2 linked regions of the Caenorhabditis elegans genome follow. The protein of the gene in region 2 interacts with the protein of the main gene of each other region in a pairwise test. Each region holds a gene or a part of one and is shown on either strand. Other genes may lie near its edges.

What was found. The genes of interacting proteins can lie anywhere in the genome.
Region 1: the proteins of ZK945.6 (region 2) and M03E7.1 interact in a two-hybrid assay, tested with the Caenorhabditis elegans proteins (one large-scale study listed by BioGRID).

The regions. Positions count from the first base shown.
Region 1 is NC_003283.11:5,620,004-5,623,757, reverse strand, and holds the start of M03E7.1 (Major sperm protein), read right to left. Parts: upstream 2,069-3,754; 5' UTR 117-2,068; coding exon 1-116.
Region 2 is NC_003280.10:10,105,513-10,109,019, forward strand, and holds ZK945.6 (Ovule protein), read right to left. Parts: upstream 1,459-3,507; 5' UTR 1,391-1,458; coding exon 1,360-1,390; intron 1,314-1,359; coding exon 1,206-1,313; intron 1,154-1,205; coding exon 986-1,153; intron 943-985; coding exon 599-942; 3' UTR 568-598; downstream 1-567. Other genes in the region: putative RING finger protein ZK945.4, read right to left, coding at 1-45, 94-184; ZK945.7 (uncharacterized protein), read right to left, coding at 2,010-2,074, 2,118-2,495, 2,543-2,710, 2,754-2,892; ZK945.8 (PPP1R11/YPI1 family protein), read left to right, coding at 3,190-3,307, 3,355-3,507.

The sequences.
Region 1 (3,754 bases), on a different chromosome or scaffold from region 2:
GGATAGATTTTGATGGAAACGGAGGGATGAGTCGGAACAGATGGAGTTGGGATAAGGCAGGCTTGTCTGAAAAAAAAATAAGAGCACGAGTCGTCGTCGGTGGTGGAGGACGACATGGATGAAGTAAGAAAGAGGGCGATTCTTTTACTCTCTTTTTTTGGGTATCCATATTTTAGTAGGTCACATTGAGATTCTTGCAAGTTTTGTTGCACTTTATTTTTTTTTGAGGGGGAGAATGTTTAAAAAATTCAAAAAATCATGAAATTGCAATGGGTTTTCACTAATTCCAAACCATATTATTTTTGAAGTGTGATAAGAGAGAATGAAGCATTGTAAATTGGGAATTTTTATATACAAGAACACTTAAAAAATCTTAAGTTTTTAAAATAAAAGTTTTGCTAATTTTACCGATCAGCAATTCTACGAAATGAGCCAGTGTGGCATGTTACCCTAAAATGTTTTTAATATAGTGATAGAATATAGAAAAATTATAATTTTTCAGATTTTTTTTCAACAATTTCTTTCAGTTTCTTTCAGACAATTTTGAACACTATTTCATTTGTTCCAACTAAAATAAAAGCTTTATTACAAGAAAACAATATGGTTGGAAAACATTGAGTACCACTTTTTGACTGTTAATTTAAAATTTTCAAAATAGTTTTGAGAACTGTAGATTTTTGTACTGGCGATTCAGAATACTGTTAAAAAATTTTTATTTCTTCCAATTTCCAACAGAATCAATTTTTTCTAATAGAAGAAGACTATTTTTCACAACATCAAAGTGCACTACTTTCAGAAACTTTTTGAAAAAAAAATTCTGGGAGATCTTGCTCTGTTTCTGGCAAAGTTAGTAGAACAAAATATTTTTCCTAACTGAATTCACACAGATGTTTGCCATTTTCTATAATATAAAGGTTTTTATGATATACTAACTATAGTCCAAGTTAACCGCAAATCTTACAAAAGAGTTCAAAAGTGATTAGATTTTTCAAATCTTCAGTCAAAAATTTTTGTGAATTGTCAATTTTTCCAAAAAATTTTGACTTTTGGAATAGTTTTGAGTATTTCTTTGATCCACTAGATCGAATTAAAACATTTTTAGAAACAATTATTTTTTGGTAGACTTTCAGCATTATCATCAGTAAAAACTGGGTAGACTTCACCACTTTTTGACCGTAGATTAAAAATAAATTCATTAAAAAAATTTGAACGTTTACTGTGATATTTGGAAAATTTTTCACTGTATGGGCAGTTTTAAATAATTTCCCCACTTAAATTACCTTAAATTTGCAAAAAAGTTAACTGACCTCATCAATCCTTTCTCTCTGATGTTGTCGGTGGTGTTGTTCTACCTCTCTCGCTGGGGACTTGCGCCCATTCAGTATATGGGACAGAATCTCAACTCTGAAGACTCTCAACTTGTTTCAAAATAAAACTTGTGGGTCTCTCTTTCGGAGAAACTTCAGAGCACCCCGCGACTCGTCCACCACCACCACCACCACTCAAAATGAAAAAGAAACGATTTCACCCCCCGCGAAAGGGATTAGAATAATCGAGAGCAAGCGATGGCAATTGATGCGCCACCACCAAATACATACACACAAAAACAGAAAACAGACACATCTGAAGAAGGAGAGAAGAACCTCTCCTCCCGAGGGTATTTACTTCGAAAGGAGAGCGAAACAAGACAGGGCAGGAAGTGAAGGAAAAGCAAAGAAGAAGAAGGAGTCAAGAATAAAAAACCAAGATGAAGGCGAAGAAGAAGGCAAGGTCGTATTTAGTAACGAAGAGTTGAAGACAAAAAAAATGGAAATAGAGAACATAATAGTGGAAGTTTGAGCAACTACTGTCTAGCAGGTGACACGAATATTTCGCCGGCGGGTGACGTAAGCGCTGCGAGATTTTTGGGAATGAAATTCGGAAAGGTAGGACCGCAAATTTTGCCACTGGTGAAAAATAACTTTTTTGATGTAATCTTAAAAGGCGTACTGTTAAAAATACTTATCTTAGCTAATACTGGTAAACCGGAATAAACCGGGCCCCCGTCGTCCAGTTTTTCCGGATTCAAGAGAATCCGAGTAACTTGGTTTTTCGATTTTTTTAAATAACTGGTTCCCGTTTTTATAATCCGGAAATTTTGGAACGGAATGAAACGTCGAAAAATGAAATTGAATTTTTTTATCTGTACCGTATTTCCTCTATTAGTCTTGCATGCAAGACTAAGTTTCAATTGACCCGTAGAGGTGCAAGACTAATAGAGACTGCAAGACTATTAGAGGCTGCAAGACTAATTTTCGAAGATCCAATAGCTTTATAAAATTGGCCATTTATCGTAAAAAATTTGACTCGAAACAGTCTAAATCATGCAAAATACATACTTTTCTATTGTTTTATCAATTATTTTAACACTTTAAAATTTAATTTAGCTATAAAATGGCGAAATTGTTGAAGTTTTCACAAAATACTGCTGGTCTGCCTAGAATAGGGGTGCAAGACTAATACCGTATGCTCTCTATTAGTCTTGCATGCAATTCCAATAGAGGCTGCAAGACTAATAGAGGAAATACGGTAAATTAGTTTGCTTATGATTTTAGGTGCTAAAAATCTGATAAATTCTGGTTTTCTCTGTATTTACAGCTTGAAATTTGTAGCGACTACTGTAGCTGAGGTTGTGGCAAGACCCACACAAAAACAGCGCGTGCCTTTGAAGTGAAGTGACAATTTTTAACAGAAGTACAATATAATTTTTCTTGTAACAAATTCAAGTGCAAATAGATTGCGGGGAGCCTTTTTGCACAATAGGGATACAAGATTTTTAAAATTTAGTAAAAAAGTCGATTATTCTTATTTTTCAAAAAAACTTATACATATATTTCGAAAACAAAACGTTCAAAAAAAATTCTAACATTTCAATTGTCACTTTTAATGAGAAGTTTTGCAAAACTTGATAGTTATAGTTAGAAGCTAAATTCGTGGCGAGACCCTTTCATTATCAGACGAACAGCTAGTGCCTTCGAAGTGACGTTTCACATTTTCACAGAAGTTAATAGAAATTCCAAAAATTTCTTTAAAACGTCAATTTTATTTTCAATTTTGGTAAATATTTAACAATTTTCAGAACTCCAACTTTCATATTATATTTCAAGTCTAGAAAACCTGACTAAAAATTTCAGAGATCACTTTAAAATTATTTTTTAATAACTAATTTTAATTTTCAAAAAAAAAAACCGTAATTTTGAGCTATGGAAACTAGGTTCAATACACATTTGGAAAAACGACAAAGCCAATAATTTTACAAAGCAGAAAAAAATTATGAAACATCAGACAAAAAATGTCGCCTACACTTCCTACCTGGCACTTTCAAAGTCATTCTTTTGAAAATTGCTTGCAATTTCAATACATTCTAAGAACGCGAACACTTTTTTTTCTACTTTTCTGCGCGAAGATCTTAACTTATTTATTTATATAAAAATAAAATGGAATATCTCATACGTCAGAGACAAAACTAAAAAAACACTTTTTTTCTTTTTTCACCAAAAATGAGGCACACTTGGAAACTCGGAAAAAATGACGGAAAGCTCACCGAAAAGCTTCCCGTCCTTCTCTCAATCTCATTCTTGCTCTCTTTTTTGTGCTCTTTTTTCGTCCATTGAGCCAGATCATTGCTACGCACCCGGACCATAAAATGCTCATTATAAACCCTCCTCTCAACTTTTATCGGGTCACGTCTCGTGGGGATTTCGGGTGTTGATAG
Region 2 (3,507 bases):
CTTTTATTTTTCCTGCACATCCTGTACAAATCGTGTGACCACATTCTGGAAGATAAAATAATTTTTAATTAAGAATCAAAACACACGGTGTACCAGTCAAAATTCTAGGGATTAGGAGCTTTTCGTCTTCTGAATACTCCTGCCCGCAAATCCCACACTCCGGAAAGCAGCGGAGCATATTCATGGCAAGTTCTGGAAACGAAGAAAAAATATTCGAGTGTATGAAATGAATGGGAAATTTCGTTATTGTCGTTGTTGAAAACGAAAATGTTCGTTTAAAATACGAAAAACGAATACGAAACAAGAAACAGCGCGATGACACCAATTGACCACAAATTTGTGTAAATTTGGAGCAATTTCCGGAGATCAAACAGAGAAAGAAAACACTTTGAATATTCTTGATATGCAGAGAGTGTTCGAAAACTAGAAAAAGAGAGCGCGAGGAACAAAAGTAGAAAGAGTATAATGTGCACACGCGAGGCGACAGGGGGCCTAGGCAGTTGTTGTTTTCAACTCGTTTTAGACTTTGGAGACGCAGAGTCAGATATGCAAAACTATTATCTTCAATGAGAAAAAATGTATTTTATCAAATAGCTATTCAATAGTTCTGTTCAATTTTCCGAACCCATTCTTCAAACTCTTCAGACGTCGGACCAAGTTCTGCGGTTGAAGCGTCATCCGAATTGACTGATGCATTGGATGTTGAACCATAGTCTTCAAGAATCTCAAAATCATCTGGCGGGCACGGAATAGCAAGGTTGACACGTGGATCGAAGTAAACTGGTTCCAAATGTTGCTCCGATTGAGCTAAGCACTCCAGAGAATCAACTACAGTAACCTTCTGATCATCACACATCATTTGAAATCCGGTGATTTTGCCTTGATCACGCCAGACTTGGAGCGGCGACGGTTGATGATTGAGGTCGAAAGGATCATCTGAAGCTGAAAATAAATTTTTTAAAATTTAATTGAGACGGAATCCCACCTTTAACATAATCTTGTTCCATAGAACTCAAATCCGATGCTGTACTGAAAGACATCTGAGTATTCAAAGAAGGATCTGCATAGGCATCCAACTTTTGTGCCACTGTCTCCAATGATACAGCTGTGCAGACCGATGTACAACTCAAAGATTCTTCGATTGCGGTTATCACTGAAAAATCTGGTGATTCAAGATCATCTGAAATCGTTTAAAGGCAACTCACAGTTACTAATAATATCTGCTTCGTTCGTGTTACTACACTCCTTGCTTTTGATGACTCCATCCAAATTGATATCCACTTCTGAACCAATCTTTTCGAGAGCAATGAAATCTGAAATTCTACGGTTCAGACGGCATGACAAACTCAGTAAAATTACCATTGACGACATCTTCCTGAGAACACTCCATGATTATGATCTCTCGAGATGTGATCGATTTGAAAATTTTTTTGAAATGAAATTTTGAATATAAGAAAATGAACATTGAGGCATTAGTAGGAAAGACGTGAAAACATTTAATTTTATAAAAATTTAAAGAACACGGTTGCCACGTGATTGGTGAAAACTTGTACAAAGAATTTATAGATGCTCACAGAGGCAACTCCTTTCGAACAGTTCTCTCAAAAAGTAGGAAATAATGGAAATTGAGAAGAAGCACCACATTTTATGTACAGTTAACATTAAATAGCATGGTAGAAGTAACTTAGAACCACGAGGCTGGTAGATCGCAACAAGGGCGGGTGAAGAATTGATGCAAATTTCAGATTTATAGGGATAAGACAACTCTTTTTAGAAGAATTCCCGTCTTGTTAGGTGTTCAACCCGGGAGCCATGACGGGGCTCATTTTGTCCGCCTCGCTTTCATGTGTGCAAAAGGCGGCCAGGCACAAGTCTCGTTTCCATGAACTATCGTAATAGTCATCAAAAAATTTGCTATACAAAAAACCAAGAAATTACGAATGCATAGACAACAACAAAAATGATTCGACATTTTTTATAGACCAAGTTCAATAATTTGTTCCGATTCTTCAGATCTCGTGATGGATTGAACTGGCATTGGATGAACGCAAGAGGTAGCTTTCCACAGATTTGGCTGAAATTGAAAATATTATTTCTTAAATAAACTTCACTCTTACCAGTTTTTCCAAAATCAGGATTCTGATCGAAATCCACCGGGATTGGTTGGAATTTGTCCAACTGATGAAGGCATTCAATTGAATCAATGATCTTCGCATTCGAAAAATTGCTGCACTCCAATCCAATCACTTTGCTATCCGGAATCCCGAGCTCGGCTTGAAGGCGCTCTACGTAGGCGGTGGTGTCGAATGTTGGATGAGCTGATTTTGCAGTGTGCTCTGACGCCAAATCCTGAGCAACGTTCTTGAGAACATCAGCCATTGTGACGTTGGTCTCCGAGGCAAGGGCAGTGTACTCCGAGAAGCTTGCAACATTCATTGTAACATTTGCTTCTGATGGTGGCATTGAGTAGACAGAGTAGTCAAGAACGTTCATCACTGAAAATTTTTGGTTTTTCAAGATAGAGTTGTTGCAGTTAACTTACAGTCTTTGCACCGCTCGAACTTCTCATTCATGGTCACTGGGGTCTCGGATTTTGGAGCAGAGTAAACGGACAAATTGAATTGATTGATATCTTGACATGGCTGGAACCCTTCGCTAGCTGACACATTTGTTTCTGATTTTGGGATTGGGTAGATCGAAGAATCAGCTTCTGTAAACTCAATATTCCCAAAAAAAAGACAATAAAAACTTACGATCATCTGGCGTCTCATTGACAGCGATAATTTCTTTGGCAAGCACCTCATTGATGGAGCAATTTGTCTCCGATGGCTGAGCAGAGTACACGGAGCACATTCCATCCTGATCCATTTGGTTGTCGAACGAGGAAGCCATAGCTAACCAATCAATTGAGCAGATTGTTTAATCCGACGGTTGAGGTTGTCGGACGAGTATGTAGCAATAAATTGTTAGTGTGGCAAGGGGGAGGTAAGGGGAATTCAAAAGTTCACGTTAAAAGTTCAATTTTTTTTTTGAAATTTATAAATTTTTTTGAAATTTGAACTTTTTATAGTGGAATCATGGCATTTTAAATATATATAAATTGTCAAATAAATAAAAGTGTAAGTCCACGATTCCAGGGAAAAAATTCAAAGTTTTATTCATTTCGTACATCAACTACACAGTCGTACGATGCAAGCCCCCGTCGTAACGGAAACTTGTCAAACCAACGAAGAAGGAGAGCAGCTTGTGCTCCGCCTGAGAGCTCCAGTTGAGCGTCCACGTGTCACTTGGGGAGCGGGAGTAATTGGTGAGTGAATTTATATTAAAAAGTCTTGAAAAATACTTAAACTTTAGATAACGAACACATGGGACGTCTCAAATCCAATTGCTGTTGCATCTACACTCCGCCTCGTGTCTGGGATGATCCGTCAACTTGGGAGCCGGAGGAGCATGAGACGGAGCACTGTCGTGGACATACTCTTCCAGAGAAGAAGCAAAAGCCACAAG